Linked DNA regions of Diceros bicornis minor. The main gene of each other region encodes a partner of the protein of the gene in region 4 in a complex. Links are inferred from orthologs where the notes say so. Each region holds a gene or a part of one and is shown on either strand. Other genes may lie near its edges.

Region 1 (7,364 bases), on a different chromosome or scaffold from region 4:
CATCTCACGGCAGTGCCCAGGGCTGGGCCCTTGGCGCCTAGCCCATCCCTCTAGCCGCATCTCTCACCTGTCCCATCAAGGGCCATTCAATCCAGCCGGCCTGAGCAATCTATTCCTCTGTGTGCCCTCAGCCTGTGCCCCTGTGACTCCCCCTGGGATGCCTTTACCGGGCCCCTCTCCATCTGGCATAAAACCCCCCATTTCCAGTCTGGGGGCTGGTGAGAACAGTCACTTGGGGAGCTAGTTAGAAAGGCAGATTCCCTGGGCCTAAAAATCAGACTCATGGCACCTCCCACATACTTAATTTTTTTTAAGAATAAAAGTCCCTAGGCAATTCTGATCATCAGCACGTTCTTCTTTGACTCAATTCAGGCCTCACCTCCTCCAAGAAGTCTTCCTTAACCTGCCAAGCTGAGTCACGGCCCTCTCTCCTACCACGCTGTGCTTCCCCCTGCAGAGTACCTTTCACCCTCTATTTTAATTTTTTATTTCTCTCACCAGCCATGGCAGGGACCATGCTGGAGTTAACTATTCCAGTCACTGTTTCCTAAATACACCTTACATTTTCAAACCGTCCCTATGCTTTTGCTTAGGTAAACAGTTCCTCCTTCCTGGGGTACCCTTCCACCATTTTCAATCTGGAAAGCTCCTAATGCATCCTTCAAGGAACAGTTCAAATGGCTACTCCTTATGTGAGCCTGCTCGCTGTGAGGCTGCCACCCACCCTCCCCGGGGCTCCTGGGTCCCAAGTGCCGACTGCACAGCCTCTCAGACTCCCAGGGTCTGCTCAGCCTCTCCCGAACAGCCTGGGAGCCCTTCACAGCAGGGACCAAGCCTTTTCATCTTTCTTCTCCCCCGTGGCTCCCACCATCCCTCCTGAGGAATGACTATCACCCCTATCAGGCCAGCCTTGGGGCACCAAAGCTACATTACCCCCACAGATAGCCCTTCATGGGCCATATGACCCCTAATGTCCCCAAAGCCAACCCTTCTGATTCTACCCACCTCACCCCAGCTAGGGCCCACTCCACTTGGTAAGTGGTCGCACTGGTTCCCAGGCTGGTCAAAGAGTCCCTGCCCAGCCCAAAGCCCACTACCAATCACCCTCATGCCCTTTGTAAGTACTAGAATTCTAGACCTGGGCTCGGGCTCCCTTCTGAACCTCTCTGCCATCCATCTCCGTGGCAATGCCTTGACTCACCCTCTCCTACCCACCCAGCTGCTTCCCCGAGCTCCCTGCCTCTTCCCTCCTGCCCTTCTCCACCCTGAGAGGTCTCCCTCAGGCTCTTCTAGCACTGTGAAGCAACTCTGCTGACAGAAGGCCTCTGCCCAACCAATCTGATGCCTCATATTTGAAGGCCTCACCATAAACACACTGCACTCATCCCACCTCCCTCTAGACATTCACCTTCAGCTACGGTCATTGGCACCTGGCTTGCAGGATCCTGTCTTTGCGATCAGTTGGGGTGGGGGGTAAGGGGCGGCTGAGAACAGGCCTGTTTTTCTACCCAGCGCTCCTGGGGATAGAGCGATCTCCTCCATCAGACCCAGGGCCCTTGAGAGCTGGGCTGTCTCCTCAATCCCGTACCCAGCCTGGGCTCTGCATTGGGAGGTGTCCTCCACTCACCTTTCAGCGTTGCCTTCTTTAGTACCTTCATGGCATACAGGTGCCCACTGTCAGGCCGGGTGACCTTCCGCACCAGGAAGACCTGAAAAGGCAGCCAGGAAAAAGCAGAGGAGAAGCTGGGGATGGGGCTGAGGCCATCAGCTCCCATCCTCCAGATCCCACGCTGACCTCTAACTTCCCTGAGCCCCAAGTTGACCTTTTGCCCTCCTTGGGTACCAAGGTGACCTCTCATCCTTCTCTCAGATCCATCAACCCTTGCCCTCTGATCCTTTGAGCCCCAACGTGACTCCTTACCCCCACCTCTGACACAACCAGTGCTGCCCTCCCAGCTGTGGGCTCAAGACTCACTTTGCCAAAGGATCCCTGGCCCAGAACCTTGAGCAGCTCAAAATGGGATGGGTCGGCCTTCTCAGAGCCAGCCTTGACATGGTGCGTGATGGAGATCTCCTTGAGGATGCCCTCATCCTGATGGAGGGATAGAGATGGTGGGCACAGTTCTCCCATCCAGGCCAGAATTGGGCATGTCCCCCCATCCAAGTCCACTCCCACTGGACCTCAGCAGACTGGGCCCTCCAGGCCCAACCAGACAGCTACCCTGACAGAGCCAGACTCTGGGTTCATCAAGACAAAAGGGCCTCAAAGGCCGGGGAGGGTCAAACTACCAAGATGCCAGGTCAGGTGAGGCACTGCTCCTATTGCTTCTGCTGCTCTGGCCTGGTCAGGCCCAAAGAGATGCCCAGGCAAGCCGGGCTGAGCCAACCCCAGGCTCTGGCTGAGGCCCACAGACCTGCCCCAGGTCCTCCCTGTGGGGCACCCCTCCCCCTGCTGCAAAGATTTTGGTTTTGCCACAATAGGAAGTAGGGTTTGTTCTCACACTGGGGAGGCAGAGTTGGGCTTTTGCTCCTGGTCAGGATGGATGATCGGATCCCTCTGGTCAGAAGAACAGGGCTGAGATGCATAAGGACCCAAGAGTCACCTGAGACTCCCCACCAACCCAGTAAGTGCCAGTTTGGGGCAAGTAGGAAGCTAAGGCCAGAGGCTCCACGCCGCCACCCTCTGAAACTTCCTTCATACAAGTCTACTAGAAACCCCTTGCCAGGGCCTAGTTGTTCTAGGACCCCTGTGCTCTCCCTCCAATCTGCCAAGATTGCCCCAGAGCCCTGGTTCCCTCCTCACTTCCCAGGGAAGCAAGTCTGGGCAGAGTCCAGTCACCCAGCAGGGCCAAGCCTGGGCTAAGAGAGCCCAAAGCCAGCTGAGGCCAACCTGGCTGCCCAGACACCTGCTCCAAGGGCCACAGCCAGGCCAGGACCAGACATCTGGACGCACTCACCGAGTCCCGCCTGGGGCCAGAGCCAGGGCCAGGGGCAGGCAGAGAGGTCTGGCTGGTCCTGGGCCGCTGCTTCCTGGGTAGCCAGGGGAGCAGGGCCCAGAGCCGCAGACGGGGCGGCTTGGGATCCTGCTCCATCCGCCCGGCAGGGCCAAGGCACCATGGCAGGAGCAGGCAGCGTCCTGGGCTGCCGCGGAGGTGGCCAGGCCCAAGGCGGATGTGCAGGGTGAAGGCGGGGGTTGGGCCAGGCTCAGGGCCGCCAATCACTCAGGGCCTGTGGTTTCCCAGCTCCAGGCCTACACCCTCACCACGTTCCCTTCCTCTCTCTTCCCCCCTCCCCATTGCCTGAGGGCTGCCCTCTGGCCCTCCCCCTCATCTTCCCTGTGGGCCTGCAAAGGGAAAGCCCCAGGACAACCCAGCTGCTAAGGAGTAGATGGGTACCCAACAGGCAGAGACAGGCACCTAATATGTAGAGGCAGATAAAGAGGGATATCCAACAGGCAGAGGCAGGCCCCCAACAGGTAAAGACAGATGAAGGCAGGCATCCAACAGGCAGAGGTAGGAGGAACACATATCCAACAGGTGGAAACAGATGGGGACATGTATCCAACAAGTGGAGGCAGGAGGGGACTCACACCCAACAGGCAGAGGTAGACAGAGACTCACACCTAACATGCAGAGGCAGATGGGGACACATATCCAACAGGCAAAGATAGATGGGGACATGGACCCAACAGGCAGAGACAGATGGGGACCCAATAGGCACAGGCAGATGCGGGCTTGCATCCAACAGGTGGACAGATGGGGACACACACTCAACAGGTGGAGACAGAAGGGGACATGACCCAACAGGCACTCAACATGTCACATGTACCCAACAGGTGAAGACAGGCACTCATCAAGTGGAGACAGAGACAGGCACTCAACAACAGAGGCAGGTGGGCAGCAGACAGAGACAGCTAGAGTCCGTGAGGCCCAAGTAGATGGACAGACACCCAGGGCAGCCACACAGGCAGGAAAGACACACAGATACATAGAAAATCAGACCCTGGACTCAAGGGCAGAGCTCCAGGTTCTTGCTGGTCTGCCTCAGGGTGGGGAAAGAGGTGAGAGGGAATCACTTGCAAACCCCCAGCAGTTGAGAGAACAGCCCAGTCTTTGTGGCAGACCCATCTCTGAGGCCTTCCATTTCTCTGGGATTTTCTTCCCACGCCAGGGCCTGAGGAGGGCCCAGGACTAGGACAGTGGGCTGAGAAGGACATCTCCTGAGTGCAATCTGATGGCTTTCACTCTGATATAAATATCCCAAAAGCTGTTACCCTCATTTCAGGAACAGGAAACTGAGGCCCAGAGGACAGTGACTCACCCAGGCTCAAAGGGAACCAGTGGCAGAGCCGGCTTGAACCCAAGTCCTTCCCCTGGTTACCGCCTGGCCTGGGGTCAGCAGGACTCAAGTGCCAGGAAAGGGTGGGCAGGTAAGTGAGCCAGAGCCATGTCCTGCCCATCCAAGCCCACCCCCTCCCTCAGTACCAGGGTCAGTCTGGGGACTTCCCATTCCAGGTCTTGACCCTCAGAGACACAGCCCCATCTTCAGGGGACCCTGAATAGCCACAACAGCTGCAGCCACCAAAAGCTGCAGGCTAATCAAGCCCCTGAGTGTAACCCCGGGCAGGACACGCAGGAAGCCTGGCTCAGAGAGGGACTGAGGTGGGCCAAAGCCACACAGCAACCCCTGCCCACCCCACCCTGAGCTCTGAGCCTCCACCTATCTGTCTGCCTCTGACTGAAAACACTCCCTGGGGACAAAGGCAGTCATCCGGAAACCCCAGGGGACAGAGCCACCCCTAAACCCCTTCCTTGCCCAGAGTCATGGTGACAGACACCACTGGAGGCAGGCCAACCCTCTGCTCACCTTTCTGAGACAGGGAAGTGAGTCTCTCTCAACCCTGGGGAAATCTGCCGGGGTCTGCATGGTGGGGCTCAAGCCGGTGGCCAGAGGGCCCCGTTACTCCCCTTACTTCTGCTTTTTCAGCCTTCCCGGCCCAGAAGGCAGGGTCGCTGACCCCCTCCTTCTCACTTCCCCCTCTGCAGGGAGGAGGGACAAAGATGGGTCAGGCTCCCCTGCTGAGGAAGGGACACCGCAGACCCCAAGCCCATGACTCCAGAGGGGGCCCAGGGACACACCCTTCCTCATCTCCTCTGATCCTAAAGAGAGAAGACCAGAACCCAGAAAGAAGTCACAAGGCGATGAGGCGGTGACACAGTGGGCATCCCAACACCTGCAAAGATTCCCTGAGAGAATGTGGGGATGTCAGCAAGTAAGCAAGGCCACAGTCTCTGACTGCCCCAGCCCAAAGTGTAGACACTCCTTCCCCTGTAGTGACCTTCCCGTAGCTGGGCCCACCCAAAATGGCAGCCCACAGAGCAGGCACCACCACACCCAGCCCTACCCCGAAGAAGCCTGCCAGTCCAGGGCCCTGGGATGGGCAAGGGGGAAGAAGGCCCTAGCAAGGACCTCACAGAGGACTGAGGAGGAGCAGGTAGCCATGGGACAGGGGTTGACCAGGCCCAGCCCCCTTCCACGTGGTCTTGCCATATCATTCACACCCGTACACCACAGGAACTGACACACACACAAATACACACAGGCTGATGATCGGAAACCATTTCCACAGACATCCTCTATGTGGAAACACACGCCCCCACGTACACATGGACTTCCCCTTCATGTCCTCACAGGGCCTCCAATAACAGACTGATGATGGTCTGCCGGGGGTTGTGAAAGATGCCTCCTTAGACTGAGGCCTATTATTGCACCCCAGCTTCTTCAGTCAGGGGTGTGGAGGCTGGGGCAGCCCTTGGAGCCCCAAAGCTCTCTGGTCCAGCGCCAGCTGAACCTCCAACCCTCAAGTCCTTCAGAAGCAAAGGAAGACTCTGTGGCTAGCAGGGTACAGGAAGGGGCAACAGGAAGGAAACAGTCTCAGAGCTGCCTTCGCTGAAGGGTATGTGCAGGGCCTGTGAGGCCTCTGGTGGCAGTGGTGGGGGAGGACAGATATCAGACCACATCCCTTGGTCCCTTGCCCCATTCCCCCCATAGATACTTCCTCTTATTTACTTCCTCCCACAAGGCAGCTGGGAGAGAAGCCCAGAGCCCCCCAGCCTGATCCCTGGTCCGTAGGGTCCCCACCCTGGGCCTCCCTCTACCAGCTGCAGCCCAAACCCACCTGCCAACCTCCAGCCCTAACGGACACCAACAGCCCCTTCTCCAGCTGGCAGCATCCGCAGGGCCTCCCAGGCGCTGCCCCCTCTGGTGGGGCAGATGTCCCCAGACGCGTCTCCCAGCACGCCTCTGGGCAGGTGAGGAGGGGTCCACAGTTCCCAAGCATCCTTGACGGGGAAGCTGGCCTCAGGCACTAGGTTAGGACTGGCATGGAGTGGCAGCAAGAAGTGTGCCTCCTAATAATTGAGCATTTATTGCACGAGGCCATTCTTTCCTTCAACCTTTGCTGGTGTGCATTCTGCTAGGCTCTATGTCTTAGCTCCAAGGGAGGTGCTGTCATCCCATTTCAGAGATGAGGAAACTAGACTCAGAGAGAAAGTGACTTGCCCAAGGCCATGTGGCTAGAAAGGGGGAAAACTAAGAGCAAAATCAAAGTCTGTTTGCTTCCAAAGCTTACACTCTCAAGCACTGCATTATCACCCTCTCAGCAAGGCTGGCCAGCCTGCCTCCCCTCTGGACATCACTCACAGCTACTGGGCCCCTGCTCTGTCCCCAGGCCAGGAGCCAGACACTAGGAGGCGCACATGTTAAGGCAGACTGGGGCCCTGTCCTTAGGCAGCTCTTGAAAATAAATACACGATAACAAAACACAACTGTCCCCAGACAGAGCTGCAGTCAAGGTGCTAAGGGTGCCCAGAGCCGGTAACTATCTGCCTGGGGTGAGGGCTGGGAAGACCTTCCAGGGCAGAGGCAGTCCAGCTGGACCCTGAGGATGAACAGGACTTGGCCAGGCAGAAAGGAGGAAAAAAGACACTCCATGTAGAGAGAGACCAGCGTGAACAAGAGGCTTGAGGCCAAGAGGGCAGGGCGGGAAGTCAAGAACTGGCTACCCACTAGCTGAGTGCTCCCAGGCCAATCTCTTTCCCTGTCTGAGCCTCAGTTTCCTCCTCTGTAAGATAGAGGTTAAAATGAGATGTTTCACTCTAAGAAGGTTGTTTCTGGAAGCAAAATGGGCCACAGAGACAAAGGGACATTGTAAACAGAACTTCTTCCTGGATTAGATGGACAGTCTTACTGCTTCGGGGTCTCTGCAGGGCAGGCTGAAGGGACAGAGCCCAGCCACAGGGTCCCAGGTGCTGCGAGGGTGGGCTACCCTGCCCTGGCCAGTCCAAGGGAAGTTCCCCCCAACA
Region 2 (7,650 bases), on a different chromosome or scaffold from region 4:
GTACCATTATTATCCCCAATGTATAGATGAAGAAACCGAAGTTTCCAGAGCAAGTTGCCCAAGTTACCTAGAGCTGGAACCAAGATCAAGACCCAGGACTTACTGATTATAAAATCTGTACACTTCACCACTAAGGTACGTGGCTAAAATACATGGAAAACTTTCTATGGGAATCTAGAAGAAGAAATTACTAGCTTTAACTAGAGGGTTCAATGCAGGTTGCGTGGAAAAAGGGATAACTGAACTGAATTTTAAAAAATAGGCAGCAAAGAACATTTCAGAAAGAGCTGCCACAGAGGCATGAGAGACGGTGATGCATAGGTAAGTTGCTTTGTGTGTTTCAGTGACATGTGCATTTGGGGCAGTGGCAGAGATGGGTTTTGATGAGGTTGGTAGCAACCAAATTATGAAGGACAGCATATTCAGGAGAGAGGAGTTACTGAAAAACAAGTTTCTTCAATAATTTCTTGGTAGTTGTAGAATGATCCATGTCAGGCTTCTCCAGGGGTGCCACTTTGTGGACCTTTTCAAATCCAGCTAAGGAAACAGACTACAGGTAGGACACACTCAACTACAAGTAACCAATAGTTTAGGCAATTATTTGATTTAGAAAAACAATTACTTTAAAAATATGCATGGTTTCTGACACTTTTTTACTGTCATAAAGAATATTATTTGAGACCTATTGTGTTCATTGATTATGAGACACTAACAAACAACAAAATATTAGTTGTCTAACACAGGTAGTTTTTCTTAGAAGTGAGGTAAGCCACACTTCAAACTACAGATATTAGTTTTCCAGTGCAGAGATTAAATGATATGGTGTTTTGGAAGTCTACATCTGGTGTAAACATTTAGTGGTCAGTCATATGTACTGAATATTTATCTTATTATACATTATATAATTAATATATATATGTATAAAATAATGGAAAGAACATGAATCTGACCATAGGGACACTTGGGTTCTAAAATAATATCAGCTAGATGTGCAATTTTTATCAAATCATTTAATTTATCTAAGGCTCAACTTACTTGTAAAATGAGGAGATTGTACTAGATGGACTCTAAGATTGTGATTCTATGAAATTAGGTACCTCTGACCTTGACAAGACTAAAATCTAGTTAAGGACATAGAGCACATCCATAGGAAAATAGATTAAGAAGTATACAAGTAACTTAAATACTACAAAAAGAAGAACTTTAAAAAAAAATCATTTTCTGGTGCAGTTAATTGGAAAAGCCAAGATTACATCACTAGTAAGCATAAGAAAGGTGAATTTGTGGGGCCGGCCTGGTGGCATAGTGGTTAAGTTCGAGCGTTCTTCTTCGGCGGCCCAGGTTTCACAAGTTCGGATCCCAGGTGCAGAACTACCCACCGCTTATCAAGCCATGCTGTGGCAGGCGTTCCACATATAAGTAACCAATAAAGTAGAGGAAGATGGGCACGGATGTTAGCCCAGAGCCAATCTTCCTCAGGAAAAAGAGGAGGATTGGCAACAGATGTTAGCTCAGTGTTAATCATCCTCACCACCCCACCCCCCAAAAATAGGTGAACTTGGGAATTAAATGAGAAAAGGGTAGAAATTCTCATTGAGGAGGTAGAGTTGTGTGTGAGAAGCATATTTTGTTTCTTTTCTCTTCATCATAAAACAACTGATTATCAAGAATACCAATACATTTCTAATTGCAGTCATATAATGGTCATTCCATATTTATACCCATTTCGCGTGACAGCTTGAAATCTTCCCAGAATTCCTAGGTTACGTGAATTCTATAATTTCTTTGAACTGTATCAAGAAAGTGGCATTGGGAGGTTTTTGAAATGATTATCAGAAATTATACAAAATTGCTAGTTGTGTCACCATGGGGAACCACATGTAAAGTATCACCAAGGTTACGATTATAAACATAGTCTGACTCAACTTACTGCAAACATACCATATTTGGGTGAGGTTTCTAGAAGAAGACAGCAGCCAATTAGTCAAGCAACAACATTTACTGAGTACCCACTGTGTACAAATTATTGATGTTCGTGTTGCTGAGTAAACAGAAATCAAAAAACAGAAGAAGAAAAAAAGGGAGTACTGTTGATGCAAGAGGTGGTGGTGAGTAGAACTGATGGGATGGAAGAGAAATCACCCTCATTAATTTTTTTTTTTTTTAATTTTTTTTCCCCCCCAAAGCCCCAGTAGATAGTTGTATGTCATAGCTGCACATCCTTCTAGTTGCTGTATGTGGGACGCAGCCTCAGCATGGCTGGAGAAGCGGTGTGTCAGTGCGCGCCCAGGATCCGAACCTGGGCCGCCAGCAGCGGAGCGCGTGCACTTAACCGCTAAGCCATGGGGCCGGCCCATCATTCAGTTTTATTTGGTGGGAGAGCGCCTAGAATTTAGATAGGGAGAAAGAAAGATCTCCAAGTAAAAAGGACAAGAGATATAGAATAAAATGCCTGGATTCCAATCTCTACTCAGTTAATTAGGAGCTGCGCAATCTTGGACAAATATTTAACCTCAGTTTGGCTCCTGTAAAATGGGTATAGTAATGCCGATAAATACCTTACTTCACGAGGTTGCAGTGAGAAATCAATGAAGTAATGACTTGTAAACTGTAAAAGAGTAAACAAGTTATTTATTTACATCCAGTGAGGTCCTTGGCCAAACTGTATGGTTTATTCTCTGTCACGTCTTCTCTGTACCATTTATCCTCAACAGGACACCTGCTTTTCCCTGCATGTGTCAGCAAGCTTCCCCTTTCTGTTGTCTCCCCAAATGGACTATGAGCTTTTCAATAGCATGGCTTCTGTTTGCATTCCATGCAGAAGAAACAATGATTTGCACACCATGAACACTCAGTAAATTACTTAATAACAGTGTTTTGCATATGAATAGTTATTTCAGCTCTCTAAGGTACTCTCACAAGTGTCATTTACATGCAGTTGTCAGATTCATCTTGCTAGACATATTTGTCACTGTTCAAAAGTTGTCAACAGCTTCTCATTTTCTACTGAATAAAGTCTTTTTTTAATATATATATATTTTTATTGAGATATAATTGACATATAATATTGTATTAGTTTTGGGTATACAACATAATGATTAAAGTCTTAACTTCTATCTAAACTCTAAGGCCTTGCTACTCAAAGTGTGGTCTCCAGACCAGTAGCATTGGCATCACCTGGGAGCTTGTAAATCTGATAAATGCAGATTCTCCAGCCCCATCCCAGACCTACTGAATCAGCAACTGCATTTTTTTGTGTGTGAGGAAGATCAGCCCTGAGCTAACATCCATGCCAATCCTCCTCTTTTTTTTGCTGAGGAAGACCGGCCCTGAGCTAACATCTATTGCCAATCCTCCTCCTTTTTTCTTTTTCCCCTTATTCTCCCCAAAGCCCTAGTAGATAGTTGTATGTCATAGTTGCACATCCTTCTAGTTGCTGTATGTGGGATGCCGCCTCAACGTGGCCAGAGAAGCAGTGCGTCGGTGCCCGCCCAGGATCCGAACCCAGGCCGCCAGTAGCAGAGCGCGAGCACTTAACCGTGAAGCCACGGCAGGCGCCAGCAACTGCATTTTAAAAATATTCCTAGCCAATTCATATATACAGTTTTGACTACATCTTCACTCTCTTGCTAAACTTGAAGCTTCAGAAGCTTTCAGATACAGCAAATAAAAGCAGTAGATATCCAATAAAAACTGAGAACAATGAATAATTTTTTAGTATCTCTCAAGTGCTTCATGGGACATACTTATACTTAAAATATATATTGTTTATTTGAAATTCAAATTTTACTGGACTTCCTGTATTTAATCTGTCAACCCTATTCAGAAGGGTAGGATCCATGTCTAACATAATTTTGTATTTCCCTGCAATCGTACTGTGCCTTCCCCAACTGCTCGATATATGTTTGTTTAAGGAATAGACAACCAGCTTAAGAACTGAGGTTTCTCCGGTTTTTGCTTAGCATTGTATATCTCCAGAGACACACAATAAATGACCAACAAATACTTCTCCAATGAATAAATGAATATACCCAGAACGATCTTCCAATTATGGACTGGGTTGGAGTGCATATTTTAATGAAAGCTGAATATTCTTCTAGTAATTTTTTTAAAACCAGAATGTTTAAAAAGCTTCTATTTGTACACTTTTTCACATTTTAGCTGGCAGAGTTCAGGACTTGATGGGAACATAATCAAGGGCTCAGAATGTACTCGTTGCCGACTGGGTCCATATGGTCACTGGTGGGGAAAGAATCCTATATTACTCAGGAGGATGACAGGCCTCCAGCAGGCTGCCGGAGGCGACTCCTCCGCCCTGCCCCCTCCCCACTCCCCCTCGCTCTGCCCCTTCTTCCTCCCCCGCCTCCGAGGCGCCCGCGCACGCGCACAGCCGCGCTCCAGCCCCGCGGGCCAGACGGAGGGAGGCGGGGCTCCCGGGGCGCGTGCGCGGCGGCCTGGGCTGTGGGCCCCTCCCTTGGCGGGGGCGCGCGGCGCGAAGGACTGCACGGAAAGGGGGAAGTCAGGTGGCCGGTGCCGCCGCCGCCGCCGCCGCCGCCGCGGTTTGTCGCCAGAAGGAAAATGGCGGATCTGGAGGAGCAGTTGTCTGATGAGGAGAAGGTAAGAGCCGCGGGGGCGGCGGAGCCCGTCGGTCCGGAAGCGAGCAGAGCCCTGGCGTATCAGCTCGGAATCTGGCCCCTGGGGAAGGGCATTGGTCTGTGCCCTCGCCCGCCTTTCCTCCTCCTCTCCTCGGTGCGCCCAAGTGCCTGCCCCCGTCAGTCACCCCAGGCCCCGCGCGGGGGCAGGTCTCTGCCCGGCCTGCTCGCTTCGCTCCTTGTAGGGTGTGTGCTCCGAAAATAGGAAGCGAGAGCGGGGCGGCGGCGCCTGGCGCGGCGGGCGGGGGCGGGGGGCGCCGAGGGCGGCGGCTGCGGGGACCCTCTGCCTCCGCCTGGGCCCCGGGGCGTTGCGCCCGCGTCTGGGGACTGCGGACGGGTTTGGGTCCCGGCCTGGGAGCGGCCCAAGGGCAGTGCCCAGCCCGACGGCCTGGCGGGCGAGTGTAGCCGGGGTGAGGGGTAGGGGGAAAAAATCGCTTAGGAAGCAGACCTTCACTTATCCCTTCTACTCCCTCCTCCCAGAAGCAAAATCCTTCCTTTCTTGGTTCTCTACGCTTTTTTTCCTTTCCCCGTGGAAGTCTCTCTCTCTCTCTCTTTTTTCCCTCTTTTCTTTTTTTCGGCTTTAGCTGTAGGCTTTGCAGTTCCCATGTTCCCCTGGAGGCAGTGGAGTTGCTCACAAAAGACCCCCCCCCCCCATAGTAGTTGTTTCCTGCTCAGGTTGGCATTTGGTGGCGTCCCATCGTCCTGCTGGGACTTCTTCCGAAGACGGGAGATTGTGCAACTCCTTTTTACTGTATCTTAGATGCTGTGACAGCATTAGAACCAGATGAACGACTTAAGTTCTTAAGTTTTCAGGCATTTAAAGCAAGAAATCTGATGATCGAACTAGTTCTCTTTAATTCGTCGTTTCCTTTGGCTACTGTGAGGCCCTATTCCATAGTGAGGGGGTGTAGACCCTACTAATTTTGAGTAGTTCCTGGAAGGGACCTTGACATTTCTCAGACTCAGAAGTAACTTATTCATAACTATCTATGAATAAGATAGTTTTGGAAGTGTCCGTTCTTAATTTAACAGTGTTCGTTTTTCGAAGTTCCAAAGCAGTACTGCCATGTATGGAGCACAAACACATCATAGTGTTTAAGAAATCCTAATGTAAGCCTAAGAATATTTTCAGTTGAAACTCTCTGCCCTAAGTGTTTTTATATCCTGTGTTCTTGCACTGGAGTGTAATGTTCAATCTCCTTCCCAATGTGATTGTGCAGCAATGAGCCTCGTCTCAGTTTTGGAAATCTTTTTTTTTTTCTTCTTCTTTTGCCCTTGCTTCTGGTGAAATTGATAATAAAACGACAAAATGGGGAGAGCAGCAAGATTCTCCATAATCCACAGCCCTGGTAGGCAGATCCCTGTATACACGAAAGTTACCTTGTAGCCTTGACATTGGTGAATAACCCTAGGTTGGTAACTGAAGATGTACGCAGGCTCGCACACGCGTATTTAAAATTAACTACTGCTAAAAAGTTTTTTAAAGAGATTGTCCTGTTATATTCTGCTGTTTTTAAGTGGTGGTTAGTAGCTCAAGTGGCTAGAAATCTAGCTGAGAAGAGAGTACTCAGTGTGGGAGTTAATATAGAGCTGCCATGTGTTGTAAAGGCCTAAAATAGCAAAGTTTTTTCAAAATGATATGGCAAGATTCCTTATCCAGCACTCTCAGGGCACTAAGCTCCATGAAGGTGGTAGTGCTGGGGGTGTCTTATTCTCTAAGCTTACCCAACACAGTGTTTTAAGAGTGAATAAATGAAAATTCTAATTTGAAAGAATTTGGTGTTTTTGTTTTTATTTATTTCAAGTTTTGTAAGACTATTCTGTAGATATTTTAAAGATAGATTTCATTGCTATATTTAGTAATTTAAGAAAAATACTGACCAAACTTTTGGGTTACATTCAAGTAACTGGTTAGGTGAAATTCTAATACTCTCATCACTTTAGTTATCTAAATGTACTTTTAATCTTTTGGGAGGAGGATGTTGGGTATGAAATCAGAAATAGGATTTAAAAGTGATATTTTTAAACTAATATTTGAATCATGTTACTCTTTCTGCCACCTTGTTTGTAATTTTCAAAAGTAAGCTTTTAATACTTCTACGCTCTTGGAATTTCCATTATTGGTTGCAGATCTAAGGAAGGGAAGCTGTTAAGACTTATGTAGTACCATACTTTGTATATGCCTGGCTCAGTTAGGCAATACATTTGTTAATTTATTGTGCGTTTGAGGTAGGTTTTATTATTACCATTTACAGGTAAGTAAAATAAGGTTTCAAAAGCTTAAAGTAATTCACCTGAGGACACCTAAGTAGGAAGTGGCAGAAGTGATATTTATTTATTTATTTTTTTGTGAGGAAGATCAACCCTGAGCTAACATCCATGCTAATCCTCCTCTTTTTGCTGAGGAAGACCGGCTCTGAGCTAACATCTATTGCCAATCCTCCTCCTTTTTTTTTCCCCCCTCCAAAGCCCCAGTAGATAGTTGTATGTCACAGTTGCACATCCTTCTGCTTGCTGTATGTGGGACGTGGCCTTAGCATGGCGGGAGAAGCGGTGTGTCGGTGTGGGCCCGGGATCCGAACCCCGGGCCGCCAGTAGCGGAGCGCTGAGCACCCAACCACTAAGCCACGGGGCCGGCCCCCAGAGGTGGTATTTAAACCTGAGTTTGAATCCAAAGTTGATGCTGTTGTGACATTACGCTCCCATAAACAGTTGATAATAGGACCCTCTTCTGGGTTTCTCTTTGTTTTTAATTTATTGACAGCTTATTTGAAAAAGGAAAAACAATATTTCTTTTTGTTTTTAAAAAAAATTTAAATACCAAACATCAAATCGTGTCGGGTTCTAAATTTAATTTGTGTTTTGATCATTTTAGAACAAAGGTTACTATTGTTTAACACATTTAAAAGTTTTATGCTACTGGTACAATGTCATATATGCCCTATGGTAAAGCATTTTAGAAATTAATCTAAAATAATATCTTTGCTTTTTAAAATCA
Region 3 (7,362 bases), on a different chromosome or scaffold from region 4:
CTAAACTTAAAGCACATAGATCATTTCTCAGTTACGGTACTTTTGAAGTTGTACACAAATATTCTGATAGTTAGGCTGAAGGGAAAAAATATGCTTATGGCACTTTTTTTCAGCCCTAAAACTGTTTGCATTTATATTTCAAAAATGCTGAATCATGAAATAAAGGAAACGGAGAGTGCAAAGAACCCAAACAAGTAGTTCATCTCATATTTTAAGTTTCCTAATTATGGTATCTTACCATTTTGGTCTTGTTAAGCATTTGCAATCAAGTAACTGAAGAGTCTAAGTAACCAGAGGAGTACAGCTCATTCTCAGAAACTGAACTTGAGGACAAGACTAAAAGCATTTATTTCTGCAACTTATTACACTTTCAACTTCCTGTTTTATTTAGGCAGCTCATCATGACCATTTCAGGTAACAGTGCAGAAGTTAACAAACCCAACTTCCTCTTTACAAAGTGATAAAAACTTCAGCAGTAGTTATGAGAATGGTTGATCTTATTAGCTTTTATAGAAAACACTTGCAAGGAAATCAGAGCCCATCACCACCAAATTCACCTCTGGGTTCACTGCTTTCAGAAAATGTAACAAAGATAAAAAGCAGCACTAAAATATATTCAGCATCATGACACACATGCCATAAAAAATAAATAAATAAATCGAATGCACTTGAGGTCTTAGCTAAAAAGAGGAAAAAAAATGGAAACTAGAGTTCCTTCAAGGAAGAATCAATACAAACTAAGGCTGAAAATACCTTGTTTGTAATAGTGTCTCAGTTGTGAAGGTTTTCTAGGCCAAGAATCTCATTTAAGGATTATTTATTGTTTCTGAATGCTAAGATATTCACATCAAGAAATCTTGTTGGAAAAATTTCTCAATTCTCGAATTCAGTTAAAAGGAATCAGGAGTCTGGAGGAAAAGGGGGCAAAGCAGGTATGAAGCTGAAGGAGAATTAAAGTAATCTTACAAGTCAAAGCTCTTTCTTTTTACTTACAGATTCACAACAGAGAAATACAGATGGGTTTCATCTCTGTCTGGGAATAAGAATCTAACAAAATTTCAGTAATCTCAAATCATATAGATTTATTATACAAGATTTTTACTGTATCAGCTATTCTCATTATCCACAGTAATGAAGACAATGTGGTTAATCTAAAAACTGTTTACTGAATATGAAATTCATCAGTATTTTTTGGCAGTAGATTTACCTTACTAATTATGATTTGCTTGCTATGTCATTATTACAATTAAACCACAAAAAGAAGTATGCTGGGAGACAAGAGGAAACTGGTCACAGATCTTCTGTTATAAAATCAAGACTATTAAGTATTAATTTAAACACTGTTAATATCCAAAGACATCTTAATTTGCACTTTGAAATACAGATATATTTCCCAAAGTTTAATTAAAAGGGCATTCTAACCTGGTGTCAAAGACAAAACTCAACAGCACTGGTAAATGTAGTATCGCTCAGGCACAATAAACTCCTAAGTTTATTGTTATTTAAATTCTTAGTGAAATATTGTTGTAATATTTTTGCTTAAAATAAGTGGACCATCAGTTGGGCTAAAAAATGTTTTATTATCCCATGATCTTCACTGTAATTTAATTTCATCTGAATCAAAACAATTTGCCTTAGAATAAGCATTTTATTCTAGATTTTTCTCCAGCATAAGTTCATATTTAAGATGCCTTTTCCCCCCTAATCTTATACATCTATGAGAATTTCCAAGACAGAGAAAATCTAATGCTAAAGTGTCGTTCACTGGCCTGTGAGTGTTTGGCACATTCTTCAGCATTTCAAAATGGCATGCCATATGCAGGTGTGATGTATCAAATTATTCTGTACAGAGAACTCACGGATCATAAACAGTTCCCTCCTACACCTCAATCTCTTTTATTAAAAAAAGAATGAGCTCAGATACATTTACAGAGAACTCAAGGGGGCACATTTTGTAATAGCCACCGTGGAAACAAAAGACATAATTCTTGTCCTATAACAAGTCGTCTAGTGAAAGCATTCTAATTTCTACAGGCCCCGAAATCATGTATTTACCGAAAAGCCTGACAAACTGTTAAGTGTGCAGTTGTCAGAAAAAAAGTTATTCCACCTAAGGTAGAATATGCTTTTGTATTTAAGACACTTTTTAAGAACTAAGTATACAAATCACACACTGGCAAATTCAACTATAATCAGACACCACAGTGGAGCATCAAAGAAGGCACAATGCTTTGTCCAGACCTGAATGTGTTAACATAAGGTGTGTGCTATATACAAAGCCTTTCTGGAGTTTTAAAAGAAAATCCGTTGGCTATTCTTGATTTGTTAACAAGAAATCGAAAACTATTTTTCAAAAATTATGTTGAGGATGTAAGCCGCAGTGGATGGAGTCGCCGCGGGGGCCGTACGTACACACATACAATCAAGGGAGTGTCTGCGGGGAAAAGAGTGGTGTTCAAATTCTGAAGCAAATGTCCTGGGGCTTACACATTTATCACTGCGAATTAGTTCAGCCGATAGCATGTGAGAAAAGAGGTGGATGTGTGGAGAGGCGGACAACACATGGGGACCTTTCCCTGTCGAGGAGTCGTGACAGCAAAATCACTTCCTGAGGAAGGAGGAGCAAAAGGGAAGTTAAGAGGCCACCCTGACCAGGAAGTGACTTGCTCTAAACTAGTCTCAATCATATCTAAAAATGGGGGGATGGGGTGAGCCCCAAAAGCTAAAGGCGGGTAAAATAACTGCTTCCTGATACGTCGCGACATCACCATCGCCCCCTCTCTTAATTACAGAAAAGAGTCCACAGTTACTATTCAATAAGGGAAAGTCTCTTCTGCAGGAAGGCCACTGGGCTGTGCCTCAGGCCCCGGAGGAAAAGCAGAGAGTTGAGGAATGGGGAACTGGAGCCACCGTGAGGCAAAGGAAAGCCCCTCAAGAGGGAAGCGTCCCGACTGCGGAGAGCGTATGCCAGCACGGGCCAAAAAGCTTCTTTCTCCTGGGGACGCTGCCAGGGTTCCCACTGCGGCCAGGTCGGGCCCCTGTTTCCTGTCGCGGGACCAGGTAAGAGAAGATGCGGACCCCTTACCTTCTCCTCATCCGACACCCGATCGTCGAAGTCGGCCATCTTGGGCTGCTCTGGCACAGCCCGGCCCCGGCGCGAGGCAGGCCGGGAAGAAAGCCGAGTGATGGAATCACCGCGGGGGCCGTCGGAAGGACCAGCCCGGAAACGCCGACCGAGAGGGCGCCATGTCAGTTACGGGCGGGGGTGATGGCTTCGGGCGCTAGCGCCCCAGGAAGTCGGCTTTGCCTGAAAGGATTTTAAGTCTAGTATCTTTCTCACTGAGTTACGTTCATTTCCCCATTCGTCTATAGGACGCTGGGAGCGTGTTTCGACTGTTCTTGGCGCCCGAGCTCCATCCGACCAAATAGCAGTTGCTACTTCTATGGGTTTTCCCAGTACCAGTGATCTCTATGACAGCCGAGTCCAAAGGGCTAAGTGCTGCTCGGCCCCTCGAACGATCGGTGGATTTTCCAACCCCAGGAATGGGGTGAAAGGTGATCCTCACTCGTAGGGAAGCAAAAACACTTCATTCTGGGGTCACATCGTAGGGAAGCAAAAACACTTCATTCTGGGGTCACATGTCAGTCCAGTTCCTCCAGAATAGGTGCTGCTATTCGCCCCTTCCCGCCCTTCGAAGGAGGAGGTAGCCCCACTCCTGGCGCGTTCCTCCACTTGCCAAAGCTCAGTCCCCGTGCCCTGGAACTTTCAGCCTTCACAGAGACCGACTTCAGGTCCGCCACTATCCCAGGATTCCCGACTCCCAGTTTCCTGCCCTCCCCTCCCAGCTCCCGGCGTCTGAGGGAGCGGCAAGATGGCGGACGGTGACGGCCTGGGTGAAGCCGCGACTACTGCGGCCTCTTCTCCTGTACCTACTCCCGGCCTGAGCCCGCCGCTGGGCTGGAGGGAGCGGCTGCGGGCAGGGCTGGCAGGGACTGGGGCCTCGCTGTGGTTCGTGGCGGGGCTGGGGCTGCTTTATGCTCTGAGAGTCCCGCTGAGGCTGTGTGAGAATTTGGCAGCGGGTGAGAGGCCCAGACTTCCCCGGGGACGGGCGGCAGGGCCAGGAGAGGTGCCGGGGACAAAGGCCAAAGGGCAGAGATTCTCAGTAGTCACTGGAGGGCCTCGGAGCATGAGTCGGTGGTCCGCGACCAAGTGGGTTCTTTTCTCCTGGGTCAGAACCCCGCAGCTGATTGTCAAACCTGAGCTGCTGCTACCGGCTCCTCCCAAGAGCTCTTAAGATCCGCCCTCTGTCTTCTGTCCTCGTTTACCCGAGGAAAAGCCACCTGACAAGCTGTAAGCTTCAGGTGGTAGGACAGATGAGAGCATTTTCAGACTTGGATGCAGGATTTATATACACCCGCACCGTTGGTAGGATCCCTTAAAAATCATTTCTTTGAGTCTCCCGCTGCTCAGCTGCGAGTACCCACACCCAGACAACAAAGACGAGCGCTTCTGTAATTCAAAGATCTAAAAGAAAGAAAATGATCTTAGCCAACCATTCTCATGTTTTAAAATAGTTCTGTCAAGAAACAGTTTTCGTGATATCTTTGTCTGTTCTTTGTTTTAGGCTTTATCTTTAGTAATAAAATAGAACAGTGCAGGAAGAGAAAGAGAGCCACGAACAGCAGTGGGTTCTTTTCTTAGTTCTTTCCACATTTTTAGAGAGCTTGCTATGTAGTCTGGCCTGAAGATACAAAGACGTGTAAGAAGTGATGATCCCCGTGGATTCAGCAAATATTGTCCTTTAGCTAGAGCCAGGACTAAGTGGATGGGAGCCAGCGCCTCTTACCCTGTCATTACAATATTTCAACTCAAGCTCTGAGCAGCAACCTCAGACCAAGATGAAAGTATTTCTGTTATGTGATGACTGTGAACTATCAGTACTGTGGTTTATTTTTCTGTAGAAAGAAAAGGCAAATGTCCCCTTTTCTTTTCCTTGACATGATGTGAAAGACTGAGATAATGTTCTGAAATATTTTAGACTTTTTAGAACATAGGTACTATGTAAATTCAGATATAATTAGCACACTAAAACAAGCTAAATGAATTGTTCTTCTTAGACTGTTTGAAGGAGCTAATTTGGTGTCTGTAACAGGTTAATGAAGTGCTTACTAGTGGTTTGTATGCTCAGTGAAATGTTATTCATTGAGTTTATCATTTATTTTTCTGTGTGTTAACTAGGTAACACTGTTTAGATGAGAGTAGTTGACTATTATAGATTTTTATTTCTTTCTAAAACCAAAAGTATTTATGAGACAATTATTTGAAGAATCTGGTCCAGGCTTTCAGTGAGTCAGGTGCAGGGAGCTCTCAGTTTGTTGCTGTTATCTTTGGTCTGTTTTGCCTCTCAAGCTGACATATCAAATACATACACTGTTTCCCTCCTTCTAATTTGAAAGGCAGGTTTGTGTCTCACCAAATCGTGAGGGAGTGGTTTTAAACCTTTGTAACAGGATGTTTATTTAGCTTATCCTTATAGATTTGTAAAAGTTCTTGTCTAAATTATGCTTTATAAGTTCTTAGTTTTATTCTCAAAAACAAGCTAAATTATCTCATTTTGATTTGCTTATTTAACAAATCAACAGTGTAAAATTCTATGCTTACATGTGTGAAGGCATTTTTAAGATATGATACAGTGGGAATTTAGCTTTTTAAATTTACAAAATTAAAATTTAAAAAATTAAAATTTACAACTTTCTCAAATGAATCTCATACCAGATATTAATACTACTCGTGTTCCTTCACTCATAAAGATACCTACATATTTGTAACTTGAGTACTTTGAATTTGCACTTTTTTAAACTGATTTTTTTTTTCCTTTTGGCAGTGACAGTATTTTTAAATTCATTGACACCCAAATTCTATGTGGCCCTTACAGGGACATCTTCTTTGATATCAGGACTAATATTTGTAAGTAGTTTCCATTTCTTTCATGCTTTGGTGTTTATCTAAAGATCAGATCTTTTTATATGGCTACAGTAATTATGAATACTTATAGATCAGTATGCTCAAAATGTGTTCAGTATTTGAAAAAACATTGCATCTTCCTCCCACTTTTAGAAATTGGCAGTATTTATTTGCATGTAAAAGACTACTATATATGGTAGGGGGCAGGGGCTGGGAGGTGAGTTGTGAGCTAAATACCTGCAGGGCCCAGCTTGGTAACAAAAATGAGTGAAATGGACAGAGTGTAAGAATTAAATTCCTTATTTGAGGACTGGGTAATCTGGACAGTGCATGCTCCTTCTAGAAGACACTAAAGCTAATTGTTGCCATTTAGACTTGCAGACCAGTATTACCAGATCTTCCAATTCTTTAAAAGATTTCAAGAGAACCTTATTATACAAGTTTTTATATAAGATCTCCCAGTACTTTAATGTGAGCAGTATTGGGCAGACTAAAAATTTATCTCTGTCTTGAATTCAGCCAATAGGCTGCCAGTTATCTTCTCTGGAGTGCTTTTTTGTGTGTGTGAGGAAGATCAGCCCTGAGCTAACGTCCATGCCAATCCTCCTCTTTTTGCTGAGGAAGACCGGCCCTGAGCTAACATCTATTGCCAATCCTCCTCCTTTTTTTCCCTTTTTCTCCCCAAAGCCCCACTAGATAGTTGTATGTCATAGTTGCACATCCTTCTTAGTTGCTGTATGTGGGACACCACCTCAGCATGGCCGGCCAAGCAGTGTGTCGGAACTTGCCCAGGATCCGAACCCGGGCCGCCAGTAGCGGAGCCCACACACTTAACTGCTAAGCCATGGGGCCGGCCCCTCTCTGGAGTGTTTAAGAGCAGGGTTTTGAAGCCAGGCTAACTGTCACTTTAGTTGCATGCCTTTGAGCAAGTTAACTTTTCTAAACCCTGATTTCCTCATCTGTAAACTGAGGATAATAATAGTATCAACTTCATAGGATTATGAGGACTGAATGAGATGATATGTGTAAAAGCTTGCAGCAACATGGGAGCTAGCTCAGAGTGAAGGCTTAATGAATTTTGGCCATTGTTATTCTGAGAAGTCCCACAATAAAGAAACCTGTTTAACTTTTTTGTGTGTGTGTGAGGTAGACTAGCCTTGAGCTAACATCCGATGCCAATCCTCCTCTTTTTTTGCTGATGAAGATTGGCCCTGGGCTAACATCTGTGCCCGTCTTCCTCTAGTTTATATGGGACGCCACCACAGCATGGCTTGACAAGTCGTGCGTTGGTGTGCGCCCCAGATCCGAACCTGCGAACCCCGGGCCGCCGAAGCAGAGCGCGCGCACTTAACCGCTGCACCACCCAGCTGGCCCCGAAACCTGTTTAACTTTAATTC
Region 4 (7,310 bases):
GAAAGCTCGGCTCCTACTAGCCTGCAAGCCCTTGCTCTCTGCTTCCTTTAGTGACCTTCATCTCTGTTACAGGAACAGCTTGGCTGCTTTCTTTAGTTCACTGGTGTTCAAAGAACTCGTGGCAGGCAGTGGTAACCATGGCGACGAAGGCCATAAATTCCTGGAAGTCACATTCACCATCTCCATCGTTGTCCAATGTTTCCATGACTTTGTCGACAACCTCCTGCTCTTTGATTTCCTGAGAGATAAGAGAAATTGCCCAGCTTATTTTTAAAGGAAATTTAAGGACATCAAAACATGATTAAAAGTTGGCTGGCTTTCATAATTTGTATCAGAAACAATCCAAGATGTACAATACAAAATGCCAGAAAAGATTTCTCCTGTGACCAGGGACTGTTGGCCAGGCAGAACCCTCTGGGGGTCTGGGCTATTTAAAAAGACTGTATGGAACAACCAAGACCTGAAAAACTGCAGGTTGTTATCACTGTACTTTAAACAAAACACCTGGAAAAGAAGACTACAGTCTAGATCCGCATGGGCATATTATATGAAAATGTCTTGAAAGAAAAAATGAACTTTTGGCCCCCCTAAGGTTTTCATTGTTTCTGTGTGTGGAAGTTCCTATAGTGAAGGCTTCCAGTGGATTTTCATGTTTTGAAAGTGTTTTTTGGCTGAAATAACTCTTGGGAACATGTCCTAAATTTGTTAACTCCTTGTGTTCTTTTTGCCTGTTGAGTTACCTTATAGGGCATGGAACTTTTCCTGACAGTTCTCTTGTCCAACAGTGAAGCCAAGAGAATGGTGTCACAAAGGCTCAGAGGAGCAAACACAGTGCAGGGCTACAAATGTGGTGGAAAGAATGTGGCACTGAACACTGAAGAAGAGCATAAATGCGGATTGCTCAGAATAACTAATCCCTAGGGCAGGAGATCTTGGCCCAAAGAAGTCAAGTAAAATGTACAATTGCTGCCTTGAGTATAAAACATATGAAAGATTGAGATTCCAGTGGGGGTTGCGCTGGGCCCTATAAACATCTGCTGAACGGTGGTTGGGAGCAGTGCATTAATTTCAATACATTATAGATTTGCCTCCAAACCGAAATTACCTTGATAAAATGAGGCCAACAAATGTTCATGATATCTTGATACACTGACCATGAATTCTTTCTCTTTTATAAATTGTGGTTCCCACATGCTAAGCTTTTTTTATGTTTTAAAGTCAATAGTTAATAATAGTAGCTACTACTTGTTATGCTTTCACTATATGTTAAGCATTTAACAAACACTGTCTTGTTTCATCCTTACAACAATCCTTTTTACAGAAGAAACTGGAACTTTTTTTTTGATGAGGAAGATTCTCCCTGAGCTAACATCTGTGCCAATCTTCCTCTGTTTTGTATATGGGACAACGCCACAGCATGGTTTGATGAGTGGTGTGTAGGTCCACGACTGGGATCCAGGCCCTCGAACCCCAGGCCGCCAAAGTGGAGTGTGCAAACTTAACCACTATGCCACCAGGCCGGCCCCAGAAACTGGAACTTTTTGGTTGTTAAGTGGAAGGCAGAATTGTTGGGACTAGATAACTGAATGTGTGAGTGGGGCAGCTGCCACTCTGAACTTGGATGCCTGAGAAAACCAGTCCCAGAATCAAACTAGAGGACACCAACCCCTTTCAAGCCTCCAGGCTGCTTCCTCTGCTCTGGCAGTGCCATTGACAGCAACGGAGTGTTTGGGTGGGAGTAGGGACAGGAGAACCCCAGCCAGCCTTGCAGACGACGGGTGCTGCCTTGCTGCTGGAACCTGGGGCTTGTCCTGTGCAGAGAGGCTCGGCTAGGTCAGGAGGGCGGCTCCCCATCACTGTGCAGCAGGGCCCTGCCTGGTGCTCTGGTATCTTCCCCAGAAGTAGCTCTTGGTCAGACACTAGTGCACTGGTTCATTGTCTGGCCATTTCCCCTGTGTGTGATTGGTCCCTTCAATGACCTTGGTTCTGGGCACTAAGGGAAGGTCAGGTGCCAGGTGGACTGCAGTTCTTTGCCTCAAAGGCACAAGACTGGTATGCAGTAGGGATGCTGGGTGGCTGATCTGAGGGCAGTGGAGACGGTGGGTAGGGAAGTGAGTCCTCCATGAGGTGTCTGGACGTACTCCCACCACAGGCCAGAGCAGGAACTGCCTGGAGAGTGACAGGGCTCATCGGGGGCCCTCATGCAGCTTCCTAAGTTAGGGTCTCAAACTGAAGACGACTCTTCTCCAACGTCCTCACTCCAGGGAGCCCCCTGCAAGGCCTCAGGGCCCCCAAAGGATGCAGGGGCCTCTCTCGTGCCCTCAGGCAAGTAGGTTGTGGCCCTTCACTGATGTGCCTGGCTGGGTGCCCCAGAAGCAGAGGCCGTGGCTTCAGGCCTGTGTCTCTCCCAGTATTGAACATAGTGAGTGCTCAGTAAACTTTGGCTGAGTGAATGGCATCTTCTATCAGCATGGTGCATGCTAAACATCTAGCCAAAATGGTCCTTTTCCCAAAAACAAAAGCTTATTTATAACAACTTGCTTATATGTTCACTATGGCCCTTGATAAGTCATGAAAATATATTTTCCATCCCATTCTGCCATCATTATTGCTGTAAATCCTCAGATTTCTTTTTTCAGAGAAAAGTCAGCATTATTTGGAACTTTTGAGACAGCAGTTTTTCCTTGATGCTTCTACTATACACAAAACAGATGAAAATGAAAACAGTGGGGCCCATCTAAGCTAGTCTCCATAATGAGGGTTCAGTTGTGAAAACAACTTTTCAGAAGAAACCTAGTAGTCCTGAAATGGAACTGGAATCACCTCAGGGCAGCTCAGAAGAGAAAGTGTACAGGTGGTTTTATAAGTGGAGAGGAGAATGGCTAGACTGTTGATTTTAAAAAGCAAGGCTCACCTCTAAAAAATGGGAAAGCTCATTGTTGATGAGCTCCTTGAGTTCAGATTTCTTCAGCTTGTGCTTGTCGCCCTCCCTTCCGGAATATTGATGGAAAACATCAATGAGGGCCACCATGGCCTTCTCCAGCTCAGACATCCTAGGGGGCCACAAAGGAAAAATGTCTTCTCATGCTTCTGCCTTGTTTGTATATAGAACAGTTAAAGTGTTATCTAAACAGACCTCAACCCAGAGGAGGGGGCTAGACCGGCCTTGGCTCATCTTCTTTCAGGCTTAGAGAAGGGCACTCTGGGAGCTTGCACAGTTGTCACAATTCTCCCGTCTGCCTCTTAGACCCACTCTCCCACCCTCTCCTCTCTTCTCTGTCCCTGTGGGCCCCACTGATAAGTTCCCATGCCCTCTGGCTTCCAGTTGGGTTTGGCCAATGGGAAACTTCAGGAAAAATACAGAGGCAGAACAGTGAGGGAGTTCAGGGCTAGAGTCCTCCTTCTTCCCCAGTTGGCGACCTTCTGCCCTTGCAGGGCTCCAAGACGAGTGACAGAGCGTGGTTGAGCAAAGCGTCGACTGCAAGCCGTTAGAATTAATGAGAAAGAAGGTGACTAGGAGCCAAACGAGAATACAAAAATCAATAGTGTTCCTGTATTCTATCAGTAAACAACTAGAAAACATAGTAGAAAAATCCTATTCATATAGCAACACACATATCACTTAAGAATAAGTTTAGCAAGAAAAGTGCAGGTCCTTCAAAAAGATTCTAAGGATCATAAAATGTAGGAACTTGCTTTCCTTTGAATTAATACATAAATTTAGCTCATTTTTAATAAAAATATTTATGGGATTTTTTTTGATGGGTGAGGAACATGACCACAAAGCAGCTGTAAAATTCAGCTGGAAAAATAAATACAGCAGAATTGCCACACATGTTTTTGAAAAAGAAGATCAATGAAAGGTACCTTGACCTACTGGAAACAAAAATGTGTCATCAGGTGATGGGATCAAGCTGGTTCTGGGGCAGACTAGGCAAACGCGGCAGGAAGATGAGCCACAGGCGGGTGTTTAGCATTCACGCAAGAGCTGCCTCTGGTGCGCAAGGGGAGTGTCGCCTGTTCACTGATGTGGCCGCACAAATGCTGGAATAAGTGTTTCTTTGCAGTTGCCAACGTAAGAAACTTCCTACTTCCCTCACAGCATGTATCTTATACCACAGCCTGCAAACTGAGGAAATATCTGTTTAATCCTGGGAATTAGGCACATCTTAGACAGGATGGCTTGTCAGTTATCTCTTAAAACTGAGATACTCAGCCAGAGAAATTTACCAACTTTTGGCCTTGAGTTCTAATCATTAAAGAATCTTTGCACTGCCGTAGTTAAAAATAATAAAAAAAATTACATCTGATTGTTGAAAAATCATTCCCATGTTGAATATGTCACATCTTAAAAATAAACTGGAATAAAATATTTAAAATTTTACTTATTTCTGATTTCCTAAGGGAAAAAGGATTGAGAATGTTTGTCTTGGCCTGATCGTTGCTAAATTTACTCTATTAGTAATCAGTATTGCTCTCAAGTCCCTAAAAATCAGATGTATCACTTGTAGATACAACAATTCAGATGGATTAAAATCTTTAATAGGTCATACCTTCTTATCCTTTGCACTCAAGTTTTCAATTATTGATTTTTTTGTTTTTAAGTAACAAAACAAAAAACCCGAGAAACTTTTGTATCATCCTGATGCTTCTCAAAGTCTGTGATGATTTGGGGAAGGGGAGGTTAAACTAATTTTTCATGAAGAATGCCTACTGGGATTTTTTTAAAGGCAAGGCATAAAACATATAGTCTATATGTTCGAAAACTCCATAAAATGTGATTTTCTTCATAACCACACTACAAGTTAATTAGGAAAATTTTTTCCTATTAGATTCTCCCTTTTGAGAAACAATTGATGGTTTAAAGCTTATCTTTTAAGAAAAATATAAATCAAATATCCATGTTTCCTTTTCACTTCATTCTGTGAATATTCTGCATTAATCTTTTTATATGAAAAACAAGAGAACTTTTGGGCTTTAACTCCTTAGAGGGACACATCACACATGATGTGAGGGTCCCCTCTAAGGAAAGGGTCCTACTTCCCTGAGAAATTGTAAGACTAAGGAAAGTTAAACTCACCATAAACCCCAATTTCTTTGACCCATTTTGTAATTTACTTTTAAATAGTAAATTTACTTGTAAATTTACCTGTACAGTTGTCATGTAATTTCTGAGCGGTGTCCAGGGGGACCCTGACATTTCCCATTGAGGGAAACTGGAAAACCGAGAAGCAGGTATATACCAAGGGCTGGGGCAGAAGCCACGAGAAGAGAAAACATTGCTTTATGTTGCTTTATGAGATAGGGCTAAACTAGCGTCAGGTTGCCCGTCATTCTCAGCCCCTGGGAGAAGCAAAAACCCTGCTCTTCAAGGGGCAAAGATTGCAAAATATTTCTAAGAAGCACTATTTGTAGTACTTCTGGAGAAATGTCAGCAGTCACCTCTGAGCCACCAGACCTGAGGTTTCTCCGATTTATAGGAATAAAAACATAGGCAAATGAATCTCTAGCTACCTAGAGTTGAGGTGATCATGCCCACAAAACAGTAATAAGATCCACACTTTTGAAACGCTGCCATTTACCCTAAGGGGACTTTTTAAACTACTGCCCCATTCCCAACCCCACCCTCTTGATCCCCTGCCCCCAAAAGAAAAGAATAGGTTTTCCTGAGTGTCCTCACGTCAGTGGCTGTTGGTTGCTGCTCCTCGTCACCTCTGGCTGCAGAGTCTGGAGTGGCAAGAGTGATGGGCAGAGGCAGCCTCTTATTCCTTGCTCCCTGGGCGGTTGGGGCGTAGGCCGGTGCAGTCCCACTGCAGGCCGAGGCAGCCAATGGAGGCCGAGGGTGGGGGTGGGGGCGGCTGGGGCGGCCAGGCCTGCACACAGGGCTGCATTGACCAACTGCCACGGCCACCCAGGGACTCGCTGGAGAGCCGGGACTGCACATGGGGCAGGAAGTGGGGAGTCAGCTTTTTGTGCCATTTTTAAATTTATACACGAATATTGATGTTCCTCTAAAGGCAAGGTTGGAGGTGGGGAGAGGAGAGAGACGGATTAATTGATTCAGACAAAGCAAATGTGCGGCCAAGAACATGAAGCTTCCAAGTACAGGATGAACGCAGAGGATTAAACTCTGAATACAGAGTTTCCAATGGAGAAGCCCTGAGCTTCTCTCCCCTGGTCTGGCCCCCACCCTCGGACGGGTCGCCCTGCGGACATCAGTACTCTGAGCTAAGCAGGGTTGCCTTGAGAAGCCGCTGACCCCAACATCTGCAGGAACTGAAATGTGTGGCAAAGTAGGAACTTGATGCTTTTAGGGAAAAATCCTTATTTAATATGATTGAGGCACGTGCCAGGTGCACCCCAAGGCCTCCTTCACCCCAGGGTGAACAGTCACAGACTGTCAGACCTAGACAGTGCCCCAGACATGTCCTGTCCAAATGCTGTGTGTTATAGACAGGTACAGGCGGTGAGCCCCTCTCTGAGGCCCCACAACCAGCCACAGGAAAGCCAAGTACAGACTTCCCACCCCCCGTCTTCAGTGGTACCCTACCCAAGCTATTTCCAAGCAGAAACTCAAATGGTAGGCATTCCTCTAGACTCATTATACAAAAAGCATTTGCCCCAAACTCATCAAAGGACGTCTAAACCAGAATCAGGGCCCTTGTGCTGACTCAGGTCACAGTGGCCACGGAACGATCAAAACACAAAGATGTCTGTGGATACAGTTGTTTTGTCGTCATCTGTTTTACCAGGAAATTCATGACTGTTCAACACCCAGAAATGTCCCCTGGAAATAGCATGGGGCTGTGAGCCTCGGGGCTTGAGTCGTCCTCACCTGGACCCCGAGCCTGTCCCCACACCCCCGTGAGTGGGACCTGAGCGATGTGGTTTGGCTGTATTTCCTCAGCTGCCCCAAGGCTGTGGTCTCGTGAAGGGTCAGACACCTGCTTGCTCTGTGAAGTGCAGAACTTCCCACATCTGAGGAAGGAGCAACCGTGTGCTGGGTGCCCAGGCACTGTGTCTGAGGGAGCGCTGCTCCTGCGCACCCTAACCACTCCCCTGCGCGGCAACCTGGGCTCTGGGTTTGCCCTTCAGGGTTCACAAAAAAGCTTCAGCCTGCTCACGCAGTTTGGAATCCACTCATCTGACCACTGGATGCCTGAGCATGGGGCCTGCCATCTGGACACAAACCTCACAGCCTCCTGGGACAGCCAAGAGTGGTGTCCTGTGCCCACCCTGTTCCAGCTTCTGTGGGAGCAGGCGGGAGAGGACGTTCTTCAGAGAAGTGAGAGAGTGGTGTCAGGGCTCAC

The links.
Region 1: the proteins of S100B (region 4) and RPS6KA1 are in contact, whole or in part, in a crystal structure (PDB 5CSJ), measured with the Homo sapiens proteins. The link is inferred for Diceros bicornis minor from reciprocal best matches to the Homo sapiens genes S100B and RPS6KA1. Residues at the interface, in NP_006263.1 of Homo sapiens: Ser42, His43, Phe44, Leu45, Glu46, Ile48, Val53, Val57, Ala84; in NP_002944.2 of Homo sapiens: Ala697, Met698, Ala699, Ala700, Thr701, Ser703.
Region 2: the proteins of S100B (region 4) and CAPZA2 are in contact, whole or in part, in a crystal structure (PDB 3RM1), measured with the Bos taurus proteins. The link is inferred for Diceros bicornis minor from reciprocal best matches to the Homo sapiens genes S100B and CAPZA2. Residues at the interface, in NP_001029727.1 of Bos taurus: Ile37, His43, Phe44, Leu45, Glu46, Ile48, Lys56, Val57, Thr60, Phe77, Met80, Ile81, Ala84, Cys85, Phe88; in NP_001013016.1 of Bos taurus: Thr267, Lys268, Ile269, Trp271, Ile274, Leu275.
Region 3: the proteins of S100B (region 4) and CAPZA1 are in contact, whole or in part, in an NMR structure (PDB 1MQ1), measured with the Homo sapiens proteins. The link is inferred for Diceros bicornis minor from reciprocal best matches to the Homo sapiens genes S100B and CAPZA1. Residues at the interface, in NP_006263.1 of Homo sapiens: Glu46, Glu47, Lys49, Val53, Lys56, Val57, Thr60, Phe77, Met80, Val81, Ala84, Cys85, Glu87; in NP_006126.1 of Homo sapiens: Thr265, Arg266, Ile269, Asp270, Trp271, Asn272, Lys273, Ile274, Leu275.

The regions. Positions count from the first base shown.
Region 1 is NC_080752.1:42,391,109-42,398,472, reverse strand, and holds the start of RPS6KA1 (ribosomal protein S6 kinase alpha-1), read right to left. Parts: upstream 3,212-7,364; 5' UTR 3,093-3,211; coding exon 2,958-3,092; intron 2,093-2,957; coding exon 1,976-2,092; intron 1,710-1,975; coding exon 1,628-1,709; intron 1-1,627. UniProt on the Homo sapiens protein: Serine/threonine-protein kinase that acts downstream of ERK (MAPK1/ERK2 and MAPK3/ERK1) signaling and mediates mitogenic and stress-induced activation of the transcription factors CREB1, ETV1/ER81 and NR4A1/NUR77, regulates translation through RPS6 and EIF4B phosphorylation, and mediates cellular proliferation, survival, and differentiation by modulating mTOR signaling and repressing pro-apoptotic function of BAD and DAPK1.
Region 2 is NC_080742.1:67,796,564-67,804,213, forward strand, and holds the start of CAPZA2 (F-actin-capping protein subunit alpha-2), read left to right. Parts: upstream 1-4,464; 5' UTR 4,465-4,578; coding exon 4,579-4,617; intron 4,618-4,776; exon of another isoform or gene 4,777-5,040; intron 5,041-7,650. UniProt on the Homo sapiens protein: F-actin-capping proteins bind in a Ca(2+)-independent manner to the fast growing ends of actin filaments (barbed end) thereby blocking the exchange of subunits at these ends.
Region 3 is NC_080743.1:45,382,508-45,389,869, reverse strand, and holds the start of CAPZA1 (F-actin-capping protein subunit alpha-1), read right to left. Parts: upstream 3,250-7,362; 5' UTR 3,125-3,249; coding exon 3,086-3,124; intron 1-3,085. Other genes in the region: ST7L (suppressor of tumorigenicity 7 protein-like), read left to right, coding at 3,873-4,080, 5,886-5,968. UniProt on the Homo sapiens protein: F-actin-capping proteins bind in a Ca(2+)-independent manner to the fast growing ends of actin filaments (barbed end) thereby blocking the exchange of subunits at these ends.
Region 4 is NC_080766.1:45,978,126-45,985,435, forward strand, and holds S100B (protein S100-B), read right to left. Parts: upstream 3,053-7,310; coding exon 2,915-3,052; intron 239-2,914; coding exon 98-238; downstream 1-97. UniProt on the Homo sapiens protein: Small zinc- and- and calcium-binding protein that is highly expressed in astrocytes and constitutes one of the most abundant soluble proteins in brain.